Linked DNA regions of Oryctolagus cuniculus. The main gene of each other region encodes a partner of the protein of the gene in region 2 in a complex. Links are inferred from orthologs where the notes say so. Each region holds a gene or a part of one and is shown on either strand. Other genes may lie near its edges.

Region 1 (4,261 bases), on a different chromosome or scaffold from region 2:
CGCCGCCTGTGCACCGCGACCTGACAGCAGCCGGGATCCCACCGGGATGGGAGAGGGTCCGCGGAGCCGCTGCCTGCCCCGGGGGTACCAGCACCGGGAAACAGGCTGAAGGAGCAGGGAGGAAGGGGCGTCACTGGGGTCTCTGGGCAATGGCTGCACCCCTGTGCTAAGCACCAGGTGCTGTCCTGGGCCCAGCTTGTGGTGCGGGAGGATTTGCCAGGGCAGGCCGTCAGGAGGGACATGGGGCAGGGCTGTGGACACAGTGTTTCGGGCCAGGGCGACTTCAGTGGGACCGTCTCCCTGCAAAGGCTGCCCAGCAGGCAGGGCCTGCCCTCTGCAAAGGCAGGTCCTGTGTGTGTGTGTGTGTGTGTGGGTCCCTTGTGTGTGCCCAGGTCCCATGTGTGTGCACAGGTCCCATGTGTGTGCACAGATCCCATATGTGTGTCTGCAGGTCCTGTGTGTGTGTGCGTCCTGTGTATGCACAGGTCCCATATGTGTGTCTGCAAGTCCTGTGTGTGTGCATGTGGGTCCCATGTGTGTGCCTGCAGGTCCCGTGTGTGTGCACACAGGTCCTGTGTGTGTGTGCACAGGTCCTGTGTGTGTGTGCATGTAGATCCAGTGTGTGTGTTTGCAGGTCCTATGTGTGTGCACAGGTCCCATATGCGTGCCTATAGGTCTCATGTGTGTGCACAGGTCCTGTGTGTGTGCCTGCAGGTCCCATGTATGTGTGCACAGGTCCCATGTGAGTGCCTGTAGGTCCAGTGTGTGTGCACAGGTCCTGTGTGTGTGCCTGCAGGTCCCATGTGTGTGTGCACAGGTCCCATACGTATGCACACACGCACACAGGTCCCATGTGAGTGCCTGTAGGTCCAGTGTGTGTGTGCATGGGTCCCATATGTGTGTTTGCAGGTCCTGTGTGTGTGCCCAGGTCCCATGTGAGTGCCTGTAGGTCCAGTGTGTGTGCACAGGTCCTTGTGTGTGTGCCCAGATCCCATGTATGTGAATGAAGATCCTGTGTGTGTGTGCACAGGTTCTGTTTATGTGCCCTGGTGCCATGTGTGTATGTGCAGGTCTCGTGTGTGTACATGCAAGTCTTGTGTGTGTGCACACTGATCCTGTGTGTATGTGTGTGTCCAGGTCCCGTGTGTGTGCTCTGGTCCCATGTGTATGTGTGCACAGGTACTATGTGTGTGTGTACACGGGTCTCGTGTGTGTGTGCACTAATCCTGTGTGTGTATGCCCAGGTCCCGTGTGTGCATATGCAGGTCCTGTGCTGCATGCGGGAGGCTCAGAGGCCAGCCCTAGGCAAGGTGTATAGCTCAAGGCTGCCCCTGCCGCCCCTGCCGCCCCTTGCCTGGCTCCCTGGAGTGTGGGTCCTCTGCAGGTAGGAGGCGTGGTGCCTCCAGTCTCTGGACTCCTGCCGGGGGGGGGGGGGCTTGGGGATGTGACTCCCCTCAGGGGTGGGGAGGAGACGGGCACGACAGGGGAGCTGCCTCTCAGGAGCCTGACCAGGGCCCCCGCACACAGCCACCGCCCACTTCAGCTTCTGCCGGACCGTCCTGGAGCACACGGTGTCCGCCGAGAGCATCCCCTGCCACCTGCCTCGAACGCCGGGCACCAGCCTCACGTGGCACGACCCCCGCAGCCAGAGGGCGTGCGGCAGCAGACCCATCAAGCTCCTGCAGCAGCCAGGCACAGAGGCCCCCCAGGTACCCCGCCGCCCGCCCCCGCCCCCCGCGCCCACTACGCCACCCTCACTGCGCCCACCACCCTCCTCTCCCTGCAGGGCCAGCTGTACTCGGACCACTACGGCCTGTACCACACCAGCCCCCCGCTGGGCGGCCTGACGCGGCCCGTGGTGCTGTGGACTCAGCAGGACGTGTGCAAGTGGCTCAAGAAGCACTGTCCCCACAACTACCTCGTCTATGTCGAGGCCTTCTCCCAACACGCCATCACCGGTACGCCGGCTGCTGCCCTCCCGCGCCCCTGGGTGAGTCCCGAGTGTCCCTGTGGGCCTCAGCTTGTCCGCCCCTCTCCCTGCAGGCCGGGCACTGCTGCGGCTGAATGCGGAGAAGCTGCAACGCATGGGGCTGGCGCAGGAGGCCCAGAGGCAGGAGGTGCTACAGCAGGTGCTGCACCTGCAGGTGCGCGAGGAGGGGCGGAGCCTGCAGCTGCTCAGCCAAGGTCTGTGGGAGAGGCTGGGGGCGGGGCTGGGAGGGGTCTCTGAAGGATCTCAGGAGACTGGCTGGAGGGGCCCGGGAAGGGTCCACCCCCATTCGCCCCCATCTACCCCGCAGCTTCCTTCGGAAACATGTCCTAGCTGCTGCTGAGGCTCAAACCCCAGACCAGCACTGTGACTGGAGCCCGTGGCCAGGGACGAAATGGTGCTGGCGGCTCAGCTCCCGGACCCTGTGGACGCCTGGGCAGCAGAGCCCAGTTCTGTGGACAGGCGGGACCAGGACGCTCACCTCCAGGTGCTTCTGGGTGGGCACTCCACGCCGCATCGGGGTTGGGCGCCCTTCCTCCTGGGACCAGAGCACGTGCTGCTGGCCGCGTGTGCAGCAGCTCTCTCGAGCCAGAGATGGCCAGGTGCCTGCAGCGTCACAGCACTGACCCGTCTGCCACCCAGCTGGGATGAACTCCTCAGCCCTCCTAGCTCGGTGCCCCTCCTGTCCCTGCCAGGGCCCGGCAGGCCCAACTCACGGCCCAGAGGAATGGTCATCAGAACCCAGCGGCTGGCTGCCACACCCAGCGCATGCTGAAGCTGGCTCCCTGCTCCGAGTCCGTGAGAACTGAGGCCAGGGGGCATCCACACCCGTGAAGACGAAGCCACCCAATGAGGTGACCTCACGCAGGGGCCTGGGCTCAGTGCTGCTCCTCAGCCGGTGCCTGGGGGACTATTGCGATCCAGCATCTTCTGCCCGGGTCAGTGGCACAGACATTTTCCGTTGTCACTCTCCCGGGAAGATCTGGATTCACAGGAGAGGCTGTCCCAAGGGCCTCGGCCCCACATCTGCCCACAGACGCCAGAGCATCCCCTCCCTGGGTGCAGGGCAGCCCTCTCCCACTCCCCCCCCCCCCGGGCTCTCTCAGGGACAGATGAGGCTGAGCCCAGCCCCTCTGTGTGCCCTGAGCCGGCCTTGGGTGCGAGGTTGGTCATCGCAGCCGCAGGTCCCGAGTGGCATTCGGAAAACTGGCCTGGCACCTCCGTCCTGTGCCATGACCCCCAGCTGCCCGTGTCCCTGTCCCCGACCACCCTGTGCTATAGGTCTTTCCCCAGGGAGCCCTTCCTGCCGCCACCCATCCTCCTGCCTCTGTCTTGCCCACCCCGTGCCCCTGTCTTGTCTTGTCTTGCGTTCACTTTTTTATACTCTGACAAAGAGAAGAAAAAAACAAACAAATAAACGTGGTTCTCAAGTGCCTGCTGCACTGGGTGTGGGGGGGGGGGGCGGCATGCCTGGCTGCCTGCAGGCCGCGCCACCAGGGGGCAGTGGAGCTGCGTTCTGAAGAGGCCTCCCCCAAGGCGGAGGCCACAGCCGGGGCGCCCCACGGGGGGTCCTGGGGCTGCTGTCCCGGGATGGGGCCTTTGCCTTCTCTGAGGCCAGAGGCCAACCCCAGTGGGGCCTCCAAGCCCCTTCGGGTTTCTGGTGCCTGCCTGTTGGCCCTGGCTCCCTCTCATCTCCCCAGGCAGGGACTCTGTGTGCAACCCTCCTCCAAAGAAGGCCTCCCCTGTAGGGTCGGGGCTCCAGCCTCCCACACAGGGCAGGGTCGGGACACAACACCCCAGCCTCACGGTATGGCCACCCAGGCACACGAGGGCACCGGGCCGTTCATTCGCCAGCCCTGGGCAGGCACTGGCAATGAAGTCTCGCCCCAGGGGACCCAGGCCAGCCCCTCCCCCGAGGTCCTGGTGAACCTGAGTTCTGCCCCCAGGCTGGGCAGGGGGTGCTGAAGCAGAGGGCCTGAGAGAGGGCTATGCACCTGTCTCTACCTCCCGCGCAGCAGTGTCCAACGGGGTGCAGAGGTCCATGAGCTTTCCTGGGGCGTCTGAAACTCAGCAGATGCAGCAGCACACACAGCAGAAGCCTGTGGACGCTGTGGCCCACACAGGGTCCACCCCAGGGTTCCTCTCTCCCAGCCCTGCAGGATGGCTGCGTCAGGGAGGGGGCAGGGCCTTGGGGCACCTGCAGGCCGCTGCCCACCACGCTCTGCCTCATCTATGCCCAAGCCTGAGGGGCCGGGCCCCTCGCCCCAGACCTGA
Region 2 (3,509 bases):
CTTAATGCGTAAGAATGACAAACAGGGCTAGTGTTCTGGCCTAACAGCATAAGCCATTGCCTACAATGCCAGCTTCCCATATGGGCATGGTTCAAGTCCCAGCTGCTCCATTTCCAATCCAGCTTCCTGCTAATGAGTTTTGGAAACCGCGGGGAAGATGGCAGCATCTTTGGGCCCCTGCACCCACGTGGGAGACCTGGATGTAGCTTTTGGCTTCTGCCTGGCCCAGGCCCTGGCTGTTGTGGTCATATAAGAGAACCAACAGATAAAGATCTCTTTCTCTCTTCCCTTCTCTCTCTGTAACTCTGACTTTCAAATAAAATAAATCTTTGGGAAAAAAAAAAAAAGACAAAAATACTGATATACAGAGGAAGTCCATTCTACAAAGTGAGGAAACTGTGAGTAAAGCCACAAAGTCAGATGAACATCAGGTTCTGGATATTAGTATCCTGGAACTACAGGCGGAAACAGGCTGGAAATATAAAGGAAGAGAAACTACGGCTGGACAGGTGCAGCCCAGTCAGACAGCAAACATCTAGGAAGCCAAAGAAGAGTTAATTCAGCAAGAAGGAGGATGTGCCAGACTTTAGGGCAGTGAAGAAGTGAAAATGATGCTTTAATTATCTTTAGAAAGATAATTTTTGGTAGCAATGTTCAAGATAGATTATATAGCTGCCGGTTCTCCAGTCTTGGCTGCTCCACTTCTAATCCAGTTCCCTGCTAATGTGCATGAAAAGGCAGCATATCATGGCCCAAGTGCTTGGGACTCTGCCACCTATGTGGGAGGCCCAGATGGAGTTCCTGGCTCCTGGTTCAGCCTGGCCCAGCCCTGGCCATTGCAGCCACTTGGGGAGTGAACCAGCAGATGGGAGCTTGTTCTCTCTTTGCAATTCTTTCAAATAAATGAATGAATAAATAACATGTTCTCCGTCTTTCAATAGAGAAAAGCAGTATACAACTCTCCCGTCCCCCACCTAGAATAAGAGGCAGCCATGTTCTACAGTCTCTCCATCCTTTAACCTGCTCACCTGCCCCAGACGTTTCTGTCCCGCCCACACGGATGTGTGGATTATCTTGAGGAATAGCTGCCCTGTACGTGGGTTGAAGATGAAGATGGCCCCATTGATGGGTTTGGTTGTCAAGTTCCCCTCAAATGTCTAAAGAAAGAATACATTGGTTAGTATGGTCATCTGCTTGCCTTCATCCCACTTACTCGGTTACCCTCCCAAGGGCAGAAGCAAAGCCCCACACCCTTTAGTGCACCTGACACTCACCTTGTGGATTGTCACTCTGTAGACATTAGTGTCATCCACAAACCAGATAATCTGGTTGGAGAAGAGCTCACCATAATTCTGAGAGGACAGATAAGGCTCAGTGGGCTCAGATGAATAGAGCTGCAATCCCTTGCGGATTCGTTCACGTAACACATACAAGGCTGGGTTGGCCTTCATGATCTTGGCCATGGCCTGCTGTATGAGGGGCTTGCTGCCTGGGAACCAGTTTCCATAGGCACTGTGAGGGTGCACAGGGCAAGAAAAGTTAAGCTCAGGCTGAAAGCCCCAAGACAAGGCAAATGCAACTTTATAGAAGGAGGAAGACTGCTAGTTGGGCTGCCAGTAATCTCATGTGGGGGCCGGTGCTGTGATGCAGCAGGTTAAGCTGCCGCCCACTGGGTGCCAACATCCTATGTGGGCACCAGTTCAAATTCCAGATGTTCCACTTCTGATCCACCTCCGTGCCAATGCACCTGGGACAGCAGTGGAAGATGGCTCAAGTAGCTGGGCCCCTGTCTGGGAGATCCTGGCTTCTGTCTGGCCCAGCTTCTGTCTGGCTGTTGAGGCCATCTGGGGAGTAAATCAGTATATAGCAGATATCTCTATATCTCCCTCTCTCTGTAATGGTGCCTTTCAAATAAATAAATCTTTCGCCGGTGCTGTGGCTCAATAGGATAATCCTCCGCCTGTGGCGCCAGCACACCGGGTTCTAGTCCCGGTCAGGGTGCCGGATTCTGTCCCAGTTGCCCCTCTTCCAGGCCAGCTCTCTGCTGTGGCCCGGGAAGGCAGTGGAGGATGGCCCAAGTGCTTGGGCCCTGCACCCCATGGGAGACCAGGAGAAGCATCTGGCTCCTGCCTTTGGATCAGCACAGTGTGCCGGCCACAGCATGCCGGCCGTGGCAGCCATTGGAGGGTGAACCAACAGCAAAAGGAAGACCTTTCTCTCTGTCTCTCTCTCTCTCTCACTGTCCACGCTTCCTGTCCAAAAAAAAAAAAAAAAAAAAAAAAAAAAAAAAAAAAAAAAAAAATCTTTCAAACAAATAAACACACAAAAAACTCTGCTCATGTAAATGTATCCCAAAAGAAGAGTCAGTGACCCAGAGGAAATGGCCAACCTCATCTTCTTGAAGCAAACTGAAAAAGCACATCTACATTAAAGTATGGGGCTGATGGAAAACAGATGTGTCTGAGCCCCAACTCACCTGTGCAGGTTATAGGCCAGGTCAATGGCAATGAGCACACCTGTGGGTGAAGGGTAAATACTCATGTTGTCTGTGGTGTAGTCCAGAAACTTGGCCCGTGCATAGCGCTCAATGTCATGGGAATCGTAGTCCCCCCAGCGCAACTGGATGTCAATCCAATACTTCTGAGTGGTGGTGCTGTCCATCACATCCCTGAGGGTAGAGAGGCGTCAGGTTCTCAGGAAGCCATGGGTGTAACCCATGTTCCCAGAACCACTAGAACTCCCAACCACTACCCCTATATCCTAAAACCATCCTTGCTCTATTCCAGATCAGCAAGCTTCCCAGAGAATGGGCAGATCTGATGGAAGGTGTTGACAGGGGCCAAGACCATCACTGACTCCAAGTTTGGAAGAAGGACAGCCAAGGGATAGTTTCTAGACCAGTATTACTAAAGGGACAGTGAAATGAAGGTTCCTGAATGCCTAGGTTTGGGCCATGAGGCACGCACTTGGAGTCTGCCAGCAACGAAGGCCGGGAGACATTCCACTTATACGAGGCAAAGAGCAGTATATCTGCACAGGAAGAGTTCATCTTATAGGACTTTCGAGGATGAATCGTCTCCTTCTGTACTGTCTCAATTTCCAGCGCATCCAGTTCTTGGTCAAACACCTGAAGGCAAAAGCAGAAAGGCTGTGATGCATTTTGGAAGCCACTCAGAATGAAGCTCTGTAGAATCTAAGACAACCAAGTAACGGGACTCTCATCCCAGAGCATCCTCAGCAGATTTCCCATATACAAGAGAGCAAGCCGACCCACCTGACACAAGTCCATGACAATGCTTTCATGGATCTTCTGCCACAGGTGAGCTCGGAATATCTGGATGAGGGAGATCTTCAGGGTGGGGATCTTGCCATGCATGAAGATACCTGTCAGGTCCAGCTGCACCTGAAAGCCTACGTACACCTGCCAGGAAAACGAACGTGACACTAGAGCTCGAGCCTTTGGCTCGCAGGACATAACTAAGGCAGTGGAAACACTTGTAACTTCCCTT
Region 3 (4,169 bases), on a different chromosome or scaffold from region 2:
TGACCGCACCCAAGGAATACTCCAGATACGCCCTGTCCCAAACAACGGATGGGTGGCACCCCGGGAAACTCCAAGAGGGAGCACAACTGATTGGTGACACCCGGACCCCTACTGGAGACTCCCCCTTCAGAGTGGCAAGGATAAAGGAGAGCCTTTTCCACCGCTCTCGAGGATCATGGCCCGATGTGTGTGAACCTCTGGATCTCCACACATCTGGAGCTGAAGAGCCAGCTTGCTAGCACCCTTGCTAAGTGACGCAAGGCGATTACGGGACCAAACTCCAGCGGAGCCGCTGCCTGGCCGCCTCACCCGGACCCGTTATTGGCTGCTGCCAGACCAACACCAGACCTCTCAGCAGGGGACCTCTCCAACTCCTTGCCTTGCCCTCTGAACCTACTGCCCAGAGTGACAGCCATCCCCAAACTTCCTGCCTGTAACTGACTGTCCTGAGATCCATCTCTCCGAGTGGTAACGAAGACTTTGAACTCTGGACTTTGGACTTTGACTTTTGGTGACCGTGATACGACCCTTGAGGACGCAGCACTTATAATGATATTAGCCGTGTGTAATATGAAGGCATGTGCCTTGACCCTGTGATTAAGAATAATGTTATGTGCTTATATTATTATAGTTGGATTGCCTTTGAGACTGCTAGGTGTGTGTTATGATCTGTGGAGTACTGAATATAACAATGTAGATTGGTATGCAGAGTGGTCAAGCCCTAGTGTGAAATTGTGTGGGCAATAAAAACCTTTCATTGGAAAGACAATCTTGTGTCCATGTGTTCCTTCCTCCCTGTGCTCCGACACCTCGCCCTTAAGCCCTGTCGAGCTGCGTGACAGCAGGCATTCGCGACAATCACTAAAGCAATACTCTCAAGTGGCCAGCACACATTAGTAGGCAGTTGATAAAGATTTGTTCCGTCAATGAATGAATCTAACAATAAAAAGGTATTAGAAGCTACTTGCTTGAGTCTTCCTACCCTTGTCTTGTTCCTGAATGACCTCCGGTCCCACTGTTAACTTAGAAAAGGCTGGGGGGCGACTAAAGCTGATGATCAGGACTCCGAGAGGGTTTACTTTCTACCAGAAAGGCCACGTTTCAGCACGCACAAACAAGTCCTCCTTTTAGTCCTGTAACTTTAGAGCGTTTATCCGCCACACGAAGAAAACTAAAAATTGTTTTGTTTGCGTTTTTTTTTAAACTGAAAACCACCTAAAGTTACGCCAACTTCGTAATCTTTTTTCCCTGTAGAAACCGAAGGCCAGCAGCAACTTGGACGGGGAAACCTTAGGGCTGTGCCACGCATGCGCTCCGCTGTCGCCAGAGCGGCAACTGCGGCTGCGCAAATCGACGGCCCGCCCCCTCCCTGGTCACGTGTCAGGGGACCGCAGCGTGGCGGCGGCCGTGGCGGTAGCGACGGCAGGCCGTAGGGCGGTCAGAAGGTTTCCGGTTCCGGTGTAACGTTCGGGCTCCGTCTCAGGGGCTGAAGTTTGTGAGGTGAGTAGTGGCCCCGGGCCCGGGGAGGGTGTCTTCCCGTCGGAGCGGCTGGGGCCGGGGCTGAGTCCGAGGGGAGGAACAGGGTGAAGGGTCCAGCGGGAAGGATGCTGAGAGAAGCACACGGTTCGGGAGAGAACGGATTGGAATGAGATTGTTGAGAGGAAAAGGGCGGGGGCGGGACGGGGACAGGCTGGGGAGAGCAGCTCTGGGGTGAGGAGTTTGGACAGAACAAGGTGAGGGAGGAGGCCGGTGAGAGAGAGAGCGAGAGTAAAAACAGGAGGAGGGGGGCTCCTGGGAGCACTCGGGTTGCAGCAAAGGAGAGCGTAGAGTAGGGAATCCTTTAAGAAGATTGGATTCTGCTGCCTGCTCATTGAGCAGTCATTCTGCCTGCCTCCCTTTCTGCACGCCAGCTCTCCCCGCCCCCACTCCCACCAGCCGTTATTATGGAGCATTGGGTCAGTAGCAAAGGCTGCTGTTGGAAACTTTTTTTTTTTTTTTAACATCTCAGAGGGAATTAGGTTGAACTTGAATACACTTTTGTTAGTACAGCGCTTGGGCACACATTTCATCTGAAAATAAAGATTCTTCCGTTTATTGCTTTGGTTTTCAAATTGCTTACTCTTTCTGGCCTGTGATGGAGTTTTCGTGGAATGTAGGCCCTTGTTACAGCCAGGGTGATTGTATTTTGTTCTCTGCTGTTTGTATCAGCACCTTCTACATTGCTTGACACTTAGTATTTGAGTAAACAGGGGCTTATGGGAATTAATTTGCCCAAGGGCTTGTGAATGATGGGATTAGCTTGGGAGTAGGGGTCTGTACCATTTATTGACCATCTGTTAGGCACTGTGAAGAACATTAGAAATAAAATCTTTGTGCTCCTGAGGAATTTGGAGAGTTAGGGATTAGATTAAAATATAGACATGATTAATGGTGACATTTTATACTAACTTGCATTGAATACAAAGATTTGTGTGGGAGAGTCCTTTATAATACTATTTTCTGTGATGAATTAAAAAGTAGGGTACAGGTAAAAAGGGATTGAGAAGAGAACATCTAAAGTGAGGGCATTTTTTTTTCCCAAGCTGAGAGAGTACTTTCATCACGACTTCTCACAGAGATCCTGTAGAATGCAATGGAGAATTTGCACTGTGCTGTCCTGCAGTAGCTTAAGCTGCCGCTTGAGACATGTGTGTGCCATACTGGAGTGCCTGTGTTTGAGTCTCGCCCCTGCTTCCAGTCCACCTTGCTGTTGCGTATCTTGGGAGGCAGTAGATGATGGCTCAAGTACTTGGGTCTTTGAGACCCGTGTGGGCACCTTGGATAGAGCTCCTGGCCCCTGGCTTTGGTGTGGTCCAGTCCTGACTATTGTGGGCATTTGGAGAATGGACTCAAGTGCATGGTAGGGGTCCAAGTACTCAAGCCATCACCTGCAACCTACCAAAATGTGCAGTTATCAGGAAGCTGGAATGAAGAGTGGAGCCAGGACTCAAACCCAGGCATTCCAAGCTGGTCTTGTCTTTTTCTTTCTTTCTTTAGAGATTCATTTATTTATTTGAAAGGCAGACTGACAGAAAGATCTTCTGAATCCACTCGTTCACTCCCTAAATGTCACAAAAGCAGGGGCTGGGGCTGGGCCACCACTGAATCCAGGAGCCAAGAACTTCATCCAGGTCTCTCATGTGGGTGGCAAGAACTCAAGCACTTGAGCCATCATCTGCTGCTTTCCAGGCATGTTGCAAAGGGCTGTTATTGGAAGGGGAGTATTTGGGACTCAAACTGGTGCTCTGATACAGGATGCAGATGTCTCAAGCAGTGACTTAACCTGCTGTAGCACACAATACCTGCCCTGCAAGCAGGGTCTTACCTACTACAGCAAACACCTGCCCTTTAGTCTTGTTTTAAATTCATTTATTTATTTTTATTTGAAAGGCAGAAAAAAAACCATAGAGACAGAGATCGTCCATTTGCTAGTTCATTTCCAAAATGCCCACTGTAGCTGGGGCTGGGCCAGGCCAAAGCCAGGAGCCTAAAACTCAATTGAGGTCTCATGTGGATGACAGGGACCCAAATCCTTGAGCCATCATCCCCTGGGATTGGAAGTAGAGCTGGGACTTGACGAACACATGGGTGTCCCAAGCCACCACACCAAACTCCTGCCCCTACCCTAGTCTTGTTTTAATGTTATATGCCAGTCTTTATTGATTTGCTCAAAAGGAAGCTAGAAGTAATTTTTAGAGTTTGTTTCTTCCACAGGTTTCATTGATTTTTTTTTTCTAAGATTCATTTTTTTTATTTATTTGAAAGGCAGAGAGAGAGAAAAGGAGAAAGAGAGAGAAAGAGATCTTCCATCCACTGGTTCACTTCCCAAATGGCCACAATGGCTGGGGCTGGGCCAGGCTGGGCCAGGCTGAAGCCAGGAGCCAGGAGCTTCTTCTGGGTCTCCCATGTTGGTGAAGGGGCCCAAGCACTTGGGCCATCCTCTGCTACTTTCCCAGACCCATTAGCAGGGAGTGGGATTGGAAGTGCAGCAGCCAGGTCTCGAACCAGCGACTATATGGGATGCCAGTGTCACAGGTGGAGGCTTAACCACAACACCAGCCCTCATTGATCCTTTGATAACTACTGAGTTAGGGTTAAAAATCAAATGGAATGTATTTGTTTCTGCTTTA
Region 4 (4,277 bases), on a different chromosome or scaffold from region 2:
TTAAGTACTGAGCTTAAAATATTTCAAGCTGTTCATATTTGACAAAAACAAAAAAACAAACAAACAAAAAAAACAATGTGAGGTGCCTAAAAAGACCATTGAGTTCTTCCTTGATTAAAGGGGAAGCATGGCAACTGTCCTTGGCTTGGGAGTTAAATCCATATCAAATCTCCATTTGGTTCTGTCATTTACTGTCTTTGTGACTATGGGAAAGTAACTCATTTTCTGCAAGCTTGGTTCCTAACTTAGAATACAGAACCCTCTTCCCAGGGTTATACTGAAAAAATGAATAATGATGTAATACATATAAAGAATCTGGTATATGATATACATTTAGTAAATGGTAAACTCTAGAACTGTGGCCATAGTTGTCACTAAGAAGTCACTGATAAAATTTTAAGTGTTCAAAACAGAACTGCAGAATAGGAAATTAACTCGAAATGATTAGATTATAAACTAACTGTGCCCTTGGGTTTTTTTGAAAGCAGCAATCACAGCATAAATTACAAACCATAGGATAAATTCCTTTGATCAAATTCCAAATACAAATATGTCACAGGAAGTTTTGTCTTTGAAACATAAGGTGGAGTAACAACTGAGAAATATCTTCAAGGAACAGACTGAGGACATATAAAACAGGGGACTTCAAAAGGTTCATACAAAATTCATGTTATCTTTTTAAAAAAATTTATCTACTAGGCACAGAGACAGACAGTGATCTCCCATCCGCTGGTTCACTCCCCATATGCCAACAATAGCAGGCTGGAATAAGCTGAAGCCAGTAGACAGGAACTCAAAACAGGTCTCCCTCATGAGTGGCAAAGACCTAATTACTTGAGCCAACACCACAGCCTCCCAGTCTGCATTAGTAAAAATGCTGGCTGGAGTCAGGACCCATAGCTGGGACTCCAATATGGAACACCAGTGTTTCAATTAGTCTCTTATCCTTGGTGCCAAATGCCCGCCGCTGCATTATCATTTAGGCCTATTTTCCATGAGATTTTGAAGTGTTCTTTTTATATAAATTCAGAGTCAATCATCATTATTTGCCAAAGACAGAGGTCATTACAACCTTTGAATATTCAAAGGATACTAAGATCATAAAAAGCTCAAATGTTCATATAGATGTATCTAAATCATTAAAAATTTCTGATTAAAAATATACAAAGCTTCAAATGATTATTATGATTCATCTGGTGAATGTCAGGACAATAGCACTGAATGGTGAAAGAAACAAAAATAGAAGACAAATTTAATACACAAACCTGCAGATTAGACTATAAGCTCTCTGAAGGCAAAAGCTATTCTTCCCTCAAAAGCCTTGTAGGTAACACAGAATCAACGTTTATTAGTGAAGAACATAGGGACTGGCAGCAGAGAGACAGCAATAAGGAGACAGGTGTACCTTGGTGTCTGGGTGTTAGACATCGGAGGCTTTAGTAAACATTTACAACCACCAAGCCCACAAAGCCAAGCAGAGAAGGAAAATGCCAGACTTACCACGATCATTCTCCCATCGGAAGTAATAACAGCTACCGTTCCTGATAACTGAATCAAGGAAAGCTTGGAGAAGGCAAATTGAGCACTTAAGACTCTGGTAAGGAAACAGTTTGAATACTACAGAAAAGGTAACACATCTAAGATTCAAGATGGCCACTGCGTGAAAACTTAAGATCATTTCTAATGTCTTTAACTCCGACTCTGTGATAATTATGCAATTAAAAAGGGGAGAGAAATAGCCTCTTTCTCCTTGTGATCAGTGTCTCCTGTATCAGAACAGCCACTTTTCTGCTAAGAATGCTGCCTAATAAATCTCTGATGTAAGCAGGACATTTCCTCCTTTCTTAGGCCTATTCTCTCTCAAATGAAAATTGGGTGAGTGCTAAATTAATTAATGTTCATTTCAGGCACGTTAAGACACCGTCTCCCAGGGCCTGTATCCTGGCATTCCAACGAAATCTATACTCAGTGCCATAAGGTACCAATAACACTTGCATCATGAGACGCCTTCAGTCCTGAACTTCTGTTTCCAATTTTGAACGAGAGCACACCGTAATATTTTTGCCCTGAGACTTCAAAACGGCAACATTTTAAACGATACTTTTAAGATTAAAAAAATAAATAAAAACTACCGCCCCTCACTCTAATCCAACAACAAATGTGACTTCATTTTATCAACAATTAGAAACGCCAAGCCTACGAATGAAGCAAGTACAGTGCAAAGATCTGCAACACGCTCGTTGCCGCAACCGTTCACCTCATCCCCAAACTTGCACACACAGGCCAATCAATCAATCAATCAGAGGATCTATCAATCAGGGAAAAGTTGGCCACAATGACATTCGGGTCGGTCTGTGTCTCTCTCAGTGTAAAATCGCCAGGCGTCCCGAGCCCGCTGGAACGCCGGGAGGGGAGCCGGGAGGGGGTCGGCTGCTCCGGAGGCTTCACCCGCTCACTCTCACCCCGGGTCCCGCCGTGGCCGGGATCCCACCCGCCCGCCGAGCCCGACCCCCGCCGCTCTCGCACCCGCCCCGCTGTGCCCGGCCAACGCTCACGGCAGGCGACCGGAGGATACGGTTTATGTAGTTTTCCAAAGCGGACGTCATGCTGCTCGGCCCGGAGGTTCCGGGGCAACAGAGCGGCGCCGGCGACAATTAGAGCTAAAAGGGCCCGCCAGAAACACGAAGCGGCTCGTTCCCGTTGGCGGAAACAAATATCGCGAGAATTGCGGCACCGTGGGCCCCCGCAAGTCGGAACTTGGAAGGAATAGGCCAATTCAACGGCAGGAGGCGGTGACGAGTTTCTGCGCGTGCGTAGTGGGTTTCCGCTGGTCTTCCGGCCGGTGATCCGGAAGCGGGGAGAGACAAAAGCCTGGGGGTGGTGGAAGAGCGTGAGCCGCTTCCTAGGAGCGGTGGGCGGCGTGAAGCGGGAGAGCGAGTGTACTAGCCGAGGGGAAGGCTGTGGGCAAGTCGTGTGGCTTCAGAACGCGCAGGAGGAGATGGAGTAAGGTGTTGTCTTTAGGAGGAAATGGAGGAAGCGTACGGACAGGGACGTGGACTCCCCTGTGCTGTAGCACGGGCCGAAAAGTAAACTAAACTGAAGAAGCTCCTGGCCCAAGACCAAGTTAGCAGTGTAACCACAGATGTTACCTCCGGAGAACCCGGCCGTGAAAAGCGGCGGTGCTGGCCCCTTGAGGAACCTAAATGCGAATGGGGAAAGGTGTGTGCGCTGCCCAGGCAAACGGCCGCAGCTTGGGCCGCACCGCGGTGCGAGGTGTCCTTGCCTCTGCTGACATCTGTCTTTAGAGGACTGATGGGGGTCGTAGGTGAGCACCAGACCAGGTGCTGGCTCACACCCTGGTAACCGATTGTGGCCCTGCACGACTCCTGTCACCGCCTCTGGGCCTCGGTTTCCTTAGACCCTGCCGGGATCGTTTTGGATATTTCTGGATGGTACTAGAAAACGTCACTCTTACCCCATTATTTCACTGTGGTAACTGATGAGGTCTGTACGCAAGAGACTTCCGCTGTGTACAAGGAGTCTCTGATTTTAATTAGTCTTGTCTTGAACGGGAGAACTGTGGCCTGAGGTAACTTGCAGTGTCAGCAGTTTTCCCCTGGAAAGTGAAGCATTTATCTGTTCATTAAATCATGCCCACAAAAGTACGGACAAGGTCACTCCCAAATATTTTTATGCACTCATAAACCACAAATGTTCTTCATATACCCTGGGAAACAAATTACTATCTTCCAAAAATGGGAGGGAAAAAAAAAGATAGTGTGTGATTTGCAAATACTAGGCTTTGAAATAAAAAAGTAATTGATGGTAAATGAGGTCTTGTTAGTAAGTTCCTTTTTAGAAATAGCCTGTGTGTCACCTTTTTACAATGAATGTAGCTTTGTATTTCCTAAGAGTGTTCTTACGTTTTGAAAATGTTTATTGACATAAAATAACTTAATGGAACTAATTTCATCATAAATACATTATAAGGCTATAACATTGTGTTTTCCATTAAATTAATTTAGGAGGATAGCAGATACAGTGTTTGGGGAAGCATCACAAAATCTCTGGGTTAAATTTTTTAATTTGTGTCTTTAAACTACTGTACTTTCTATGATGCCTAAAGATAGCAGTTGTGGAGGTAAAGCCTATGAATAGGCAAAATCTATTTATTAAGACATAAAAAATGAGTTACATCTGGATGTAAAGGTTGCATATTAGATTTATCTTAATTAGCCTCGTGACCATGGCTGTATATGAACATAGAGTTTGGTGTC

Evidence for each region. Proteins that work in one complex are often made in the same cells at the same time.
Region 1: PRPF8 (region 2) and PRPF6 share a complex: the UniProt entries of both Homo sapiens proteins name them as parts of the U4/U6-U5 tri-snRNP complex. The link is inferred for Oryctolagus cuniculus from reciprocal best matches to the Homo sapiens genes PRPF8 and PRPF6.
Region 3: PRPF8 (region 2) and PRPF3 share a complex: the UniProt entries of both Homo sapiens proteins name them as parts of the U4/U6-U5 tri-snRNP complex. The link is inferred for Oryctolagus cuniculus from reciprocal best matches to the Homo sapiens genes PRPF8 and PRPF3.
Region 4: PRPF8 (region 2) and LSM8 share a complex: the UniProt entries of both Homo sapiens proteins name them as parts of the U4/U6-U5 tri-snRNP complex. The link is inferred for Oryctolagus cuniculus from reciprocal best matches to the Homo sapiens genes PRPF8 and LSM8.

What each region holds. Positions count from the first base shown.
Region 1 is NC_091442.1:205,093-209,353, forward strand, and holds the start of PRPF6 (pre-mRNA-processing factor 6), read right to left. Parts: upstream 2,810-4,261; coding exon 2,469-2,809; exon of another isoform or gene 2,321-2,468; coding exon of another isoform or gene 2,298-2,320; intron 2,185-2,297; coding exon of another isoform or gene 2,044-2,184; intron 1,959-2,043; coding exon of another isoform or gene 1,787-1,958; intron 1,710-1,786; coding exon of another isoform or gene 1,528-1,709; intron 1,311-1,527; coding exon of another isoform or gene 1,245-1,310; intron 1-1,244. Other genes in the region: SAMD10 (sterile alpha motif domain-containing protein 10), read left to right, coding at 1,245-1,310, 1,528-1,709, 1,787-1,958, 2,044-2,184, 2,298-2,320. UniProt on the Homo sapiens protein: Involved in pre-mRNA splicing as component of the U4/U6-U5 tri-snRNP complex, one of the building blocks of the spliceosome.
Region 2 is NC_091448.1:47,183,763-47,187,271, forward strand, and holds part of PRPF8 (pre-mRNA-processing-splicing factor 8), read right to left. Parts: intron 3,422-3,509; coding exon 3,275-3,421; intron 3,128-3,274; coding exon 2,967-3,127; intron 2,669-2,966; coding exon 2,477-2,668; intron 1,513-2,476; coding exon 1,275-1,512; intron 1,158-1,274; coding exon 1,029-1,157; intron 1-1,028. UniProt on the Homo sapiens protein: Plays a role in pre-mRNA splicing as core component of precatalytic, catalytic and postcatalytic spliceosomal complexes, both of the predominant U2-type spliceosome and the minor U12-type spliceosome.
Region 3 is NC_091438.1:47,654,636-47,658,804, reverse strand, and holds the start of PRPF3 (U4/U6 small nuclear ribonucleoprotein Prp3), read left to right. Parts: upstream 1-1,360; 5' UTR 1,361-1,500; intron 1,501-3,036; exon of another isoform or gene 3,037-3,228; intron 3,229-4,169. UniProt on the Homo sapiens protein: Plays a role in pre-mRNA splicing as component of the U4/U6-U5 tri-snRNP complex that is involved in spliceosome assembly, and as component of the precatalytic spliceosome (spliceosome B complex).
Region 4 is NC_091434.1:153,846,749-153,851,025, reverse strand, and holds the start of LSM8 (LSM8 homolog, U6 small nuclear RNA associated), read right to left. Parts: upstream 2,810-4,277; 5' UTR 2,607-2,809; coding exon 2,576-2,606; intron 1,542-2,575; coding exon 1,501-1,541; intron 1-1,500. UniProt on the Homo sapiens protein: Plays a role in pre-mRNA splicing as component of the U4/U6-U5 tri-snRNP complex that is involved in spliceosome assembly, and as component of the precatalytic spliceosome (spliceosome B complex).